3 linked regions of the Sus scrofa genome follow. The protein of the gene in region 1 binds, or shares a complex with, the protein of each later gene. Links are inferred from orthologs where the notes say so. Each region holds a gene or a part of one and is shown in the gene's direction. Other genes may lie near its edges.

Region 1 (5,015 bases):
CGTTTGTAGTTTCTAGCTTTTTATTTTACCGAGGAAGGTCCCTGAAATAACTACCACCAGCTACCATTGCCACGAAACCAGGCCTGTGGTCACACACTTAATGTCAATGGACTTGTACTTCGTATCGTGTATGAAAGATCTTAAGAGACCGTTGTGGCTTCCTGCTGCAGCGCAGTGGGTTAAGAAATGACCACATAGAATTCCTGTCGTGGCTCGGTGGTAACAAATCTGACTGGGATCCATGAGGATGCGGGTTCGATCCCTGGCCTCGCTTAGTGGGTGAAGGATCCGGCATTACCATGAATTGTTGTGTAAGTCACAGATGAGGTTCAGATCCCAAGTTGCTGTGGCTGTGGTGTGGGCCAGTAGCTGCAGCTTTGCTTCAGCCCCTAGCCTGGGAACTTTCATATGCTGCGGTACAGCCCTAAAGAGCCAAAAATGAATAATTAAACAAATCTGACTACAGTAGCTCATGTCGCTGTGGATTAAGGTGCAGTGGGTTAAGGAACTGGCGTTGCTTCAGCTGTGACATAGGTGGGGCTTGGATTCCATCCCTGGCCTGGGAATTTCCATATGCCATGGGTGCAGCCAAAAAAAAAAAAAAAAAAAAAGACAGTTGGCAAACTCACACCCATGTGTATTCATTTCTGTATAACTCATGACTCTTATTTTTGTCAAACTAATGGAAACCTCTTCAGTACAGAGCTCTGCTGTGGGTGATGCTGGTGTGGGAAACACCCCCCTTGGGGGCCATTGCTGGAATTCTCCCAACAACGTTCTATTTTTCTTTGTAAAATACTGTATGACAAAAAGCCCAGAGTGTTTTTGATAAATGAAAAATGTTTCTATTGCTTCAGACTCCAGAGCGTTTTCCTTTCTGCCTCAACTGAGATCCCATGAAATGGGGAAAAGAGTCAAAAGTTCAAGTGTCCCTATTTAAAGCTGGCCTCCGGCAACGGTGAATCATTTGTTGAGGTAGAATTCACGTAACATAAAATGCATTCTTTTCAAGTGCATGATCCAGCGGTTTTTCGTATATTCAAAGTTGTGCAACCACCACCTTTATCTAATTCTTGAACATTTTCATCACCCATAAGTGAATCCCGTACCTGTTAGCATCCACTCCCCATTCCCGTCCTCCCAGCCCCTGGCAACCACTAATAAAGTCCCTATGTCTTTTTGGCTTTGTCACTTTGCCCATTTCACATAAATCACAATATGGTGACTGTCTCCTTTCACTTATAGTGTTTTCAAGGTTTCATGTTGTAGGCGTGTATTCGTACTTGATTTTTGTGGCCCAATATTCCATTGTGTGGATACACCATATCTTATTGACTCATCAGTTGATAGGCACTTGAGCTTCCATCTTTTGGCAATTGTACATCATGCTGCTACCAATATTCTACGTTCTTTGTGGACACGTAGCTTTTGGGTATATACGAAGCTGAACTGCCGGGTCAATGTTAACTCTTTAACCTTCTGACCAAGTGCTAGACTGTTTTCCACAGGAGTTGCCCCCTTTTAGACCCCCATCGGCAGTGTCTGAGGGTTCCAATGCCTCTGCATTCCTCATCACCACCTATTCAGTTTTCTGCAAGCTCAAAGGGCCGGCCTTCGAAGGCCTTCGGTCTACCCAGCTCCCTGGAACGCAGCGACAGTCCAGAGCCGAGCTCCGTGCGCAAGCGCGTCAGTGGGCGGGCTCGGCGCAGGGGGCGGGGCCATGCGGACGTTAGGGGCGGGGTTGCAGTGCGCAGCTGCGTGCGCGCCCCGGAAGCGGAAGCGAGCACCCGTTTCCGGGCGGCTGATTCGAGGAGTTGTTTTGTCTCCGGCGGCACCTGTGAGGAGCTGCTTCGAGGCAGGCCATGCCTTCGGAAGGTCGCTGCTGGGAGACCCTGCAGGCGCTGCGCAGTTCGGGCAAAGGTCGCCTGTGCTACCACCGCGACTGGCTGCTGCGGGGCGAGGTGAGCAATGGCCCAGAGGCGCGTCACGGGACGCTGCTTCTTTGTAACAACCAGCCGTTGACTCCTGAGTGCGCCTCACCCTGCCTTGGCGTTTCTGCCTTCTCCCGCCTGGTTTGGCTTTTCGGGGAGCCCCTATTCAGAGGTGCCCTTCTCTGGAGGTTTCAGTGCTCTCCTCCAGGCCGGAGTCAGGCGCCCCTGCCTCTTAGGGTCAGCGAATTTACTGCGCGTCTCTTCCGTTGGGAGATCCAGATTTAGCGGTGAAAGGTTAATGTGACCTAACCTATTGCTCCCAATGAAAAGACCAGATTTTTAGATGACATTGGGCAGACCTGGAAAGTGTAATGGGGGCGTGGTCCGTGCACCTGGGATTTGCAAAGCCCTGTACTGTAGACAGTTAAGGCTCAGCTCTTCTTCCCGAGTTGCTGGTAATCTAGGTACAGACGTGACGTTTGTCTCTTCAGGCTTAAATGTGTCAGTTCTAAAGCATTTCCTTGTTATGTCTTTGACAGTTTTAAAGAATACATACTTTATATAGCATGAATCCCAGCACGAGTCTGTTTGGTGTAGACTCAGGTTATGCGTTCTTGGCAGGAATACCACAGAAATGATGCTGTGTTCTCAGTAAGTCACATGAATAGGTCACATCAGTAACACACAGGTGCTTCATTCCAGCCCAGCACTGGTGATGGCACTGACCTTGATCACATGGTCACACTGGTATCTGCCAGATACCAATCCACTTGAAAATCATTTTTCCCTTTGTAATTGATTACTGTTTTGTGGGGGGGTATTCCAAGATTAGACCAATATATTTTTTTTCTCATCAAACCTCCACCCTTAGCGTTTATTGACGACTTCTGCATGAATTAGTCTCTTCTGTGATGTAGCCAAATGGTGTTTCTTTATGTCTACCATTCCTTATACATATTGTAAGGAAGTGCTTTCGTTTCTCCCGTTTAATTATTTATATCACTATCCTCACGGGTTCCTGTTTTATTCAGTGAGTTATGATCCATTACTTGTAACCTTGTATGTGTATTTCCGTCTTTTATTTTTATTTTTTTGGTCTTTTTAGGGCCGCACTCATGGCATATGGAGGTTCCCAGGCTAGGGGTCCAATCAGAGCTACAGCTGCCGGCGTACACCACAGCCACAGCCACGTCAGATGTGAGCTGTATCTTCAACCTACACCACAGCTCATGGCAATGCCAGATCCTTAACCCTCTGAGCGAGGCCAGGGATTGAACCTACATCTTCATGGATGCTAGTCAGCTTCGTTAACCACTGAGCCATGACGGGAACGCTTGTATTTCCACCTTGTGTGAAGTATTGTCTTCAGGATAAATGCTAGAAGTGAGATGCTGAGTCAGAAGGTAGGCATAGATGTAGTTTTATTATTTATTGCCACGTTCTCTCTGGGTATATTGTTTGTCTTCCAGTTAGCAGTGCATGATCATGCCTGTTTGCCCACGGCCTTGTCAGCAGAATGTATCGTTTTATTTTTTTTGCCTGTCTCATAGGTAAGAATGAGATTGCAGTGTGGTTTTACAGTATGTTTTTATCTTGATTGAGATCAAACATTTTTTCTATATTCAAGCACCAATTTTATATCTTTACTTGCAAATTTCAAGTTTATATATTTTGCTCCTTTTTTTACTGGGGTTTTGGTATTTCCCCCCAAAATTTTTTTTCTTTTTTTTCTTTTTAGGGCTGTACCTACAGCATATGGAAGTTCCTGGACTAGGGGTTGAATCGGAGCCGTAGCTGCTGGCCTGTGCCATAGCCACAGCAACCCAGGATCTGAGCCACATTTGCAACTTACATCACAGATTGCAGCAATGCTGGATCCTTAACCTATTGAGCAATCCAGGGATCAAACCTGAATCCTCACGGACACTATGTTGGGGTCTTAACCCACTGAGCCACAACGGGAACTCCAGTGGCGTTTTTTGTATATATGGTTTTTATTTTCTACATTTGAAGCTCTGGTCCTGAAATTTATTTTGGTGTAAAGAATGAGTAACGAGGAGTTTCCGCTGTGACACAGTGAGTTAAGAATCCGACTGCAGTGGTTCAGGTCGCCGAGGAGGTATGGATGTGATCCCTGGCCCTGCCCACTCGGTTAAAGGATCCAGCGGTGCCACAGCTGGGGCTCGGATTCAGTCCCTGGGCCTCAAACGTCCATGTGCTGCAGGTGTGGCCAGTTAAAAAAAAAAAAGAAAAAAAAACAAGTAAAGCGTTGTTGCCTCACCGTTATTTCCAGTATGTCTTTATCTTCGTGTGTTTGTGTGTATTTATTTATTTAGGCGTTGGGTTTTCAACAAAACATGTAGTGGATTATAAGGACAAAATTCTTTTTTTTTTTGTCTTTTTGCCATTTCTTGGGCCGCTTCCTGTGGCATATGGAGGTTTCCAGGCTAGGGGTCTAATCAGAGCTGTAGCCACCGGCCCACGCCAGAGCCACAGCAATGCGGGATCCGAGCCGCGTCTGCAACACCACAGCTCATGGCAACGCTGGGTCCTTAACCCACTGAGCAAGGGCAGGGACCGAACCCGCAACCTCATGGTTCCTAGTGGGATTCGTTAACCACTGCGCCACGACGGGAACTCCCCAAAATTCTTTTTGATTGCTTAGATCAGGTGACATGAAAGTTGAGCTTAACTCTCTTCTTCCCTCTAGGATGTTTTAGAAGAATGCATGTCTCTTCCCAAGCTGTCTTCTTACTCTGGGTGGGTGGTAGATCATGTCCTACCTCACATGCAAGAGAACCCTCCTCCTTCCGAGACTTCAGCATCCCCTAGATCTACTTCAGCCCTCGACCAACCTTCGTTTGTTCCCACGTCTCCCATAAGAGACCGTGCCTTCTCATCAGCCTCCTCAGCAACGGCGAATGGAACCGAGGTGAGGCTTTCGGTGGCTGCAAAGTTGAAGCATTTAATGTTGTCCTACTCTGATGACCTTACTCTTGGTGAAAATAATGGCTGCTTCTCCTTGTAGCTATTTGTAGGGACGACGTTTACCACAGCACCCAGTGATCTCTCTGTGAAGACCCA
Region 2 (4,073 bases), on another chromosome or scaffold:
GCTGCCAGCTATAGTGTAGGTCACAGATGTGGCTCAGATCTGGTGTTGCTGTGGCCATGGCATAGGCCTGTAGCTGCAGCTACAATTCAACCCCTAGCCTGGGAATTTCCAGGGCATAAGTGTAGCTGTTTAAAAAAAAAAAAAAGAATAATTATTTTTTTGGAGTTCTCTTGTGGTACAGCAAATTAAGGATCTAGTGTTGTTGCTGCAGTTACCTGGGTCACTGATATGGCGTGGATTCCATCCCTGACCCAGGAACTACCATATGCCACAGGTGCAGCCAAAAAATTAAATAAAATAAAAGGTATCTTTATGTTTTAATATGTATTCATCAAAGAAATTCAGAAAATGTTTTAAAAGCATAAATAAAAACCATCCATAATTTATCAGCTAGATAATCACTCTGAATTCATTGAAGCTGGTCCATATTTTATCTGAGTATTCATTTGTGGGCATTTTTCTCTGTTAAGCATTTACCATCACATTTTTAAGTGCACATTGTAAAAATTTAATTTGGCTATATAAAGTGTATATTCTTTCTTTTTTAATAGCTCTCTGATGTAAAAGATGGAGTAAAGCAAGCAGCACCTGCATTTGGATTTGGCAGTAGTCAGGCAGTAACATTTGGGTCACCAGGTAAGTGATGGAGTAATGCAGGACTTCACTGATTTCTAAAAATAGGATTTTATAGGTTTCAAATCATAAAGCCTGAAGGTTGATTAAGTGCCATTTCAAGTCACTCTTGTAAATTCTACCACCTTCTATAAGAGAGCTTCAAAGAATTTGACTCATCAAGCATTTGTGAAATGGGGGCCGGAATGGGCATGTTCTCTGAAAGACCCTCTAGCTTAGAAGTATATTTTAGGAATGGTTTTTCAAGAGTTTTATAGTAATACGTTACTATGATAGTAGCACCTTTGAGGACTTTCTTGTCCCTATACGTAACAGCAGAATTTTGACCTCAAGTGACAGACCCAGTGACATGAGGGACAAGCTGAAATGAAGAGTCACTCCCTCATCCCTGAGTTTTCTCAAGAGCAGTCTCTGTGAGTAAAGGTAAATTACAGTACAGATGAGATCAGTGTAGCAGAAAGACAGACCACAGGGTTTCGTGGGTTTGTCCTGGCTTCTCATTTTCATGTTTTTCTTCTTCCTTCCAGGAAGTTTCTCATCATTTAAACATGGCAGAAATAAGAAAAAAAAAGGAGGCATGGGATAGACATATAGCTACCTTTTCTAATATTTTTTTTTTCTGTTTCTTTGTAGGTTTTCCAGTGAATAGCAACAGCAGTTGTAGTGCTCAGAATTTTAGTTTTAAACCAAGGTCTTCATTTGCTGCTGCCCCCTCTGGAAGTCCTTCTGTGTTTGGGAGTACTCCGGCATTTGGAGCCACACCCTCTGCCAGTTCTGCCATCAGCGCTTCTGCCCCAACTTTTGGACTTGGGAAGCCCGAAATCACATCTGCTGCTTCATTTTCGTTTAAAACCCCTGCAGCTTCTGGTTTTGGATCATCCGGATTTTCAGGATTTCCAGCTCCAATGGCAGCAGACCCTGTTGCCCCAGCCTTTGGAAGTGGCAGTTCTGTGGCTGGTTTTGGTAGTCCTGGCTCACATTCTCATGCTGCTTTTTCCAAGTCATCCAGTGACACCTTTGGAAATAGCAGCCTATCCACCTCTCTCCCAGTCTCACATGGCACAACAGATAATGTATTATTCACACCCAAGGATCAACTAACAGTGGAAGAACTAGAACAATTTCAATCTAAGAAATTCACTTTGGGAAAAATTCCCTTAAAGCCACCGCCTGTGGAACTCATAAATATTTAAAAGGGCAATTTTAAATATAGAAAAGAACAGTTTTTAAAATTGTTTTGAGTGGTTCATATGAAAGAGCAAATATATATACACATTTAAATTTATAAGAAATGTAAACTTTTAATAACATTAGTTTTTAAATTTAACATTTTCCCCTTGAACCTAACTATTTAAATGGAACATAAAAAATACTCAAGAACAGATTTTTTTTAACTATTATTATGAATGAAACTGAAAAAATGATCAATCCACACTGAATAAAGTACTTTTCTTATTCTACATCACTTTACTGTCTTACCATTTAAAATTTTAGCTTTAAACTTTTTTAAAGAAATGAGACAGTTTTTAGAACCAGTAGGGAAAAATGCTTGAATGTTTAACCTACTTACCAAATAAATATCAGAAGCCTGACTTTCATGTTCAAGAAGATTCTCTTAACGAAATAGCAGTTTTTAAAGGGCGGAAACTTTTATTTTCAGGACCTAAGGGGCGTTTTCCCCTCACAGTTTTTTTTTAATGGGCCACTCCCAGAGCATGCGGAAGTTCCCAGACCAGGAAATGAACCCGAGTCACAGCAGTGACCCAAAGTGCCACAGTGACAATGCAGGATCCCTAACCTGCTGCACCCAAGGGAACTCCACCTCTCAGAATTGTTCCCACTCAATATTGACTGTCTCATGGACCATCTGAGTTTTCTTTGGCAATTTTAGGCTAATTTTATCTTGGCCTAATTTTTCTGTAATACTGTTTTTTCCTCACATTCTTCCATCAGGTGGCTGGATTCTAAGAGGAATGGAAATTATGATCTCATGTGAATAAATAGTGTATGTAGAGGAGTCGAATTCACCAGCTGTTTCTATTAGAATTTTCAGACACGTTTGTGTCTCTCTGTGTCCTCAGATTGGGGCAATATATTGTATATCTTATATGTAGTTGATCCAAGTAGCCAAAGACCTGTCATGAGCTGAAGCATATATGTCAGAATTCAATGTTTCTTTCTCAAGCCTCAAAAATGACATAGCTGGCACTTTGAGAATAGTTACCTAAACTAGATCTGATATTGAACTGATTTTTTTAGGTGTAAATAAAATAAAAACTTATAAAAGATGTACTCCACATGACTTTAGTATATATGCAAAGGATTCAATCCTCAGAGGATCCAGATTTTCCGTTACACCTTTTGAAGAACTGTATGATTCAAACAGTTTTGGAACCCCAGCATATGGAATAGAATTTCCCTCCCTCCTTTCTCCTATAAGAACAATCACATTTCTACAGTCTATTATTTGACTGCTTCATTTATTTTTTCTTTTTGTGGTAGCTTCTGCAGCATATGGAAGTTCCCAGGCCAGGGGCTGGATCAGAGCTGCAGCTACAGGCCTAACCACAGCCATGGCAACATCAGGTCCAAGCCACATCTGTGACCTATGCTGCAGCTTGTGGCAACACTGGATTCTTAAGCCACTGAGCCAGGCCAAGGATTGAACCCACATCCTTACAGGGACAACTTCAGGTCCTTAACCTGCTGAGCCACAACAGGAACTCCTGATTTGACTCCTTTAGATACCTCATGAGTAATTGTCCTTTTATGACTGGTTTATTTCATTTAGTGTAATGGCCTCAAGGCTTATCCATGTTGTAGAATATGATAGAATTTCCTATCCTTAAGGTTGTGTAATAGTAGTGTATGAACCACATTTTTGTTATCCATTCATCTGTTACTGACATTTGGGTTGCTTCTATCTCTTCATTATTGTAAATAATGTTGTAATGAACATTTCTTTGAGATTCTGCTTTGAATTATTTTGGCTATATAGCCAGAAATAGGTTTGCGGGATCATGAGGCAACTCTTTGTTTAGTTTTTTGAGAAATCTTTACACTGTCCTTCATAGCAGCTACATCATCTTACAGTCCCACCAGCAGGATTTCAGTTTCTCCACATCTTCCTCAAACTTATTTTCTTATTTAAATAGTGGCCTTCCTGATAGATGTAAGGTGGTATCTCATTGTGATTTTGATTTGCATGTCTCTTACGATTAGTGATGTTGAGCATCTTTCTATATGCTTGTTGACAATTTATATATCTTCTTTGGAAGGCTATCTGTTCAACTCCTTTGCCAATTTTAAAATAGTGTTATTTGTTTTCTTGTGAGTTTTAATTCCCTACGAATTCTGAATATTAACCATTTATCATGTATATGATTTGCAAATATTTTCTCTGATTGCATAGATTGCTTTTTCACTCTGTGGATTATTTC
Region 3 (4,352 bases), on another chromosome or scaffold:
GCTCTGATTGGACCCCTAGCCTGGGAACCTCCATATGCAGCGGGAGCGGCCCAAGAAATAGCAACAACAACAACAACAAAAAGACAAAAAAAAAAAAAAAAAAAAAAAAAAATTCTTTCCTTCAGCCTCAGCCGCAGGAATAGTTAAGGCCTACTGGTAATTTCCCATTGCAGGAGCGCAAGTGTCTTGAATTCTCTCTCTGTACTCTTTCCCTACCAGTGTCTGTGCCTTTCCCCAACTTATGAGCTTGCCCTTCAAACGGGGAAAGTGATTGAGCAGATGGGCAAATTTTACCCTGAACTGAAGCTAGCTTATGCTGTTCGTGGCAATAAATGTGAGTATGAATATAAGATCCTAATTAAGTTAATAACTTTTTAATTTGAAAATTTTCAAAATATACTCAGTAACTGAAATAATACAATGAACATGTGTCCACCTAGATTCGAAAAGTTATGAAAGGAATGGATGTGTATATATGTATAACTGAATCACTTTGTTGTACAGCAGAAATTATCACAACATTGTAAATCAACTATACTTCAATAAAATTTAAAAAAATGAAAAAAAATGTTAACATTCTGCCATATTTGCTTTTGTATATGGGTGTGTATATTTTTGGTGAACGATGTGAAAATAAATTGTAGATATTGTGGCTCTTTACCCCTAAATACTTTAGTATGCGTTTCATAATAAGAACATTCTTCAGCATACCCACAAAACCCTTATTACAACCAAGAAAAGATTAACATATTCTCTTCTATTCTGTTTTCATGTCCCCCTAATTGTCCCAGAGTCCCAGAAGTGTTTCTTTAGGCTTTTTTTTTTTTTTTTTTTTTTGGCCAGTCCTATGGCCTGCAGAAATTCCCAGGCCAGGGATCAAACCTTCAGAACTGCACCACAGCAGTGACAACTTGGATTCTTAACCCACTAGGTCACCAGAGAACTCCCTTTATGACTTTTTTGTTGAACCAAGACTTAGTCAGTGTATATGCATTGTATTTGGTTTTTAAGTCTCTTTCAGTCTAGAATAATCCCCTCACATCCACCTACTCCGCTACATTTGACTTTTTGAACAGACCAAACTAACTGCTTATAAAATGCTCCCAATTCTGGATGTTTAATTGCCTAATTTTTTTAATGTCATTGTAAGAACAAAAAGTGTTTTAGAGTATTCATGGCAATTAACTCTGGGAGATATTTTTATTACTTTTTCTTTATCTATCCTTTCTGCTTTTGCATGTTTCACACAGCAAGCTAACTATATATTTTTTGAACAATACTTAAGTAAGTTAAAGTTTGTTGGAATCTTGGCTTAGTCCTATGGATCTTTAACACAAACCTATGACTTGATGACTGTCAGAAGTCCACTCAGTACAGTGTCTTAATGCCAACTTAAGGCAGTTCCGGAGAGAAAAGTAAATAAGATAATAAAACTTAGTTTAAAATCATCATAAAGCATGTGAAATACTGCAATTTGGGAGTTCCCTGGTGGCCTAGGAGGTTAAAGATCCACCACTGTCACTGCTATGGCACAGGTTCTATTCCTGGGCTGGGAACTTCCCCATGCTGTGGTGTAGCCACAAAAAAAAAAAAAAAAAAAAAAAAAAAAAAAAAAATTCAGATTTGAGTTCGAATGGCAGAGGATTCTGATTATTTATTTGTCTGCAGAGGGCAGTAATTGGTTTGTTAACTGAAGTAAAAAAGCATTTTTTAGCTTTAAATTGACTCAACATTTACTTTAGGGCAAAATTTTGGCTGTGACTAGAGGGAGCTTCTATGTATCTGGTTAAGGTTTTACTGTGATTAAAGGACAAAAAATTGAATTAATGAGTACCCTCTAACTCAAAATGAGCCAAATTTCAGTTGCAAGCTGCACAGGACCAAGAATGTGCCATGATATGCCAGGCCCAATCTGGGAAAGCACTATAAGAGAGGCAGTTTGTATCTTTGAAAAGAGAAAAATAACCTTTCATAAGAATCTTATTTACTGATCTGGGCAAGGGGCACACAAAGGCAACTGACTTACTTGACATAGATGCTGGGAGAACTGAAGGGCAAAGTACACTGGAGTGAGAAGAACTTTAAAGAGGTCTACTTGTAAGGAAATGCATACCCAGGCTAGGGAGGATGACGTTGACAGAGAAGAAATAAAGATAAGAAATCTTTGAGAGGATTGATGATTATAGAGAATGTAAAAGAATACCACCGAAGAGGTTTTCACCTAATTATTTATACCATTGCTATATCTTGTCAGCATTACTGTTTTTTCTAAGTTATGTCCATTAAATACTGTAGTGCTGTCCCAACCTTTCCTTAAAATATTAATGCAAACATCAGCCAAATTGCATTAAAAAACATCATAGCTTTAGGGAGTTCCCGTCGTGGCTCAGTGGTTAACAAATCCAACGAGGAACCATGAGGTTGCGAGTTCAATCCCTGGCCTCACTCAGTGGGGTTAAGGATCCAGCGTTGCCATGAGCTGTGGTGTATGTCGAAGATGCGGCTCGGACCCTCGTTGTTATGGCTGTGATATAGGCCAGTGGCTACAGCTCTGATTCAACCCCTAGCCTGGAAACCTCCATATGCCGCACACTCGGCCCTAGAAAAGATAAAAAGACCAAAACAAACAAACAAACAAAAAAACATAGCTTCAGAATTGCTCAGGGAGGAGAGCTGGCTTTGTCATGGAAATACTCACAGAATACATCTTGTCTCCACAGTGGAAAGAGGTCAGAAGATCAGTGAGCACATTGTCATTGGCACCCCTGGGACCGTTCTGGACTGGTGCTCCAAGCTCAAGTTCATTGACCCCAAGAAGATCAAGGTGTTTGTTCTGGATGAGGCAGACGTGATGATAGCTACTCAGGGCCACCAAGACCAGAGCATCCGCATCCAGAGGTAGGAGCTCTTGGGCCAGGAGGAACTTCTCCTCGGCCTCCTGATCTGCAGCCTCTTCTCCTTTCACTTCACACTCCTCTTCTTGCTCCAGCTAGGTGCTTACTGCTTTCAGGGGCATCCGGTTTGAGGCCCATTTCCATGTCAGAAATGACCATACCCCCAGCCTGGGCTGAGGAAGGAGACTTAGGGGACTCCTAACACCACCCGGCCCTGCCCCACACCTGCTCCTCGATGTGCCACCCTCCTGGGGACGTAGATCCCCAAGCTGGGGGAGGCTGTGCTCCTGTTCCTTCCAGAGAAACGCTCGGTCGGGGTCATGCCCAACACCTGGGCCCTCCTTTGCAGGATGCTGCCCAGGAACTGCCAGATGCTGCTTTTCTCTGCCACCTTCGAAGACTCTGTCTGGAAGTTTGCCCAGAAAGTGGTCCCAGACCCAAATATCATCAAACTGAAGCGTGAGGAGGAGACATTGGACACCATCAAGCAGTATTATGTCCTGTGCAATAACAGAGACGAGAAGTTCCAGGCCTTGTGTAACCTGTACGGAGCCATCACCATTGCTCAAGCCATGATCTTCTGCCATGTGAGTAGCACCAGCAGCAGCAGCAGCAGCAGCAGCAGCAGCAGCAGCAGCAGCAGCAGCAGCAGGAGGGAGAGGCCTGTGGGGGGTGGAGCTCCATGAAGGGTGTGGCCCCGGCCCCAGCCTCTGGGCCAGCTCAACTTAGTGCTGGGGGCTCAGGTTCTCTCCCTGTGGCTGGAAAAGAAATGAATCACCTCCATCTGCCCCTGGACATATCCTCTCAGGTTGTAATGGAGAAGACTGATGATCTAAACCTTCTTTGGGAGTTCTCTTGTGGCGCAGCAGGTTAAGGATCCAGTATTGTCACTGCAGTGACTAGGGTTGCTGCTGTAGTGCATGAAATCAGTCCCTGGCCTGGGAACATCCACATGCTACGGGTGTGGCCAAAAATAAATAAATAAGCAAACCTTTTTTTTTTTAAGCCCGCACCTGCAGCATATGGAGGTTTCCAGACTAGGGGCTGAATCAGAGCTATAGTTGCTGGCCTATACCACAGCCACAGCAATGCAGGATCCAAGCCATGTCTGTGACCTACACCACAGCTCATGGCAATGCCAGATCCTTAACCCACTGAGCAAGGCCAGGGATCAAACACGCAACCTCATGGTTCCTAATCAGATTCATTTCCACTGAGCCACAACAGGGGAACTCCAAGCAAACCTTCTTTGGTCCCACTTGGTATAGATAACTTGGAAAAAACTCCAGATGACATCCAAGGAAATTATTTTATTTTTATTTATTTTTAATTTTTTTTACAAGGAAATAATTTTAAAGTATTAAACATATAGGAAAGAATTAAGAACATTAAGAATTTAGGAGAGAAGACCTTTGGCTTAAACCAGTCTTCAAAGATGAACATTAACATCACTGAAGT

The links. Proteins that work in one complex are often made in the same cells at the same time.
Region 2: the proteins of GLE1 (region 1) and NUPL2 are in contact, whole or in part, in a crystal structure (PDB 6B4I), measured with the Homo sapiens proteins. The link is inferred for Sus scrofa from reciprocal best matches to the Homo sapiens genes GLE1 and NUP42. Residues at the interface, in NP_001003722.1 of Homo sapiens: Ile385, Ile593, Leu598, Asn599, Trp602, Arg603, Ala606, Gln607, Leu609, Asn610, Gln636, Tyr637, Gln638, Val639, Gln640, Lys643, Met644, Ile646, Leu647, Glu650, Asp651, Tyr652; in NP_001357375.1 of Homo sapiens: Asp185, Asn186, Val187, Leu188, Phe189, Gln202, Phe203, Gln204, Ser205, Lys206, Lys207, Phe208, Leu210, Gly211, Lys212, Ile213, Pro214, Leu215, Lys216, Pro217, Pro218, Leu222, Leu223, Asn224, Val225.
Region 3: the proteins of GLE1 (region 1) and DDX19B are in contact, whole or in part, in a crystal structure (PDB 6B4J), measured with the Homo sapiens proteins. The link is inferred for Sus scrofa from reciprocal best matches to the Homo sapiens genes GLE1 and DDX19B. Residues at the interface, in NP_001003722.1 of Homo sapiens: Lys416, Lys419, Met420, Gln423, Lys424, Thr427, Ile428, Ser431, Gln432, Ile433, Ser434, Thr435, Ile436, Lys440, Gln458, Ser459, Gly460, Lys479, Lys483, Lys486, Gln487, Glu490, Glu491, Ser494, His495, Gln554, Gln562, Asn565; in NP_009173.1 of Homo sapiens: Cys325, Asn326, Tyr328, Gly329, Ala330, Ile331, Thr332, Ile333, Ala334, Glu356, Gly357, His358, Gln359, Arg378, Arg380, Glu381, Gly382, Lys383, Glu384, Lys385, Glu400, Gln401, Ser403, Phe433, Gly434, Lys435, Arg436, Asp469, Asp470, Leu471.

Annotation. Positions count from the first base shown.
Region 1 is NC_010443.5:268,892,539-268,897,553, forward strand, and holds the start of GLE1 (nucleoporin GLE1), read left to right. Parts: upstream 1-1,742; 5' UTR 1,743-1,862; coding exon 1,863-1,961; intron 1,962-4,641; coding exon 4,642-4,863; intron 4,864-5,015. UniProt on the Homo sapiens protein: Required for the export of mRNAs containing poly(A) tails from the nucleus into the cytoplasm. May be involved in the terminal step of the mRNA transport through the nuclear pore complex (NPC).
Region 2 is NC_010451.4:91,998,876-92,002,948, forward strand, and holds the end of NUPL2 (nucleoporin-like protein 2), read left to right. Parts: intron 1-551; coding exon 552-636; intron 637-1,266; coding exon 1,267-1,826; 3' UTR 1,827-2,923; downstream 2,924-4,073.
Region 3 is NC_010448.4:13,348,539-13,352,890, forward strand, and holds part of DDX19B (ATP-dependent RNA helicase DDX19B), read left to right. Parts: intron 1-219; coding exon 220-334; intron 335-2,720; coding exon 2,721-2,898; intron 2,899-3,243; coding exon 3,244-3,481; intron 3,482-4,352. UniProt on the Homo sapiens protein: ATP-dependent RNA helicase involved in mRNA export from the nucleus.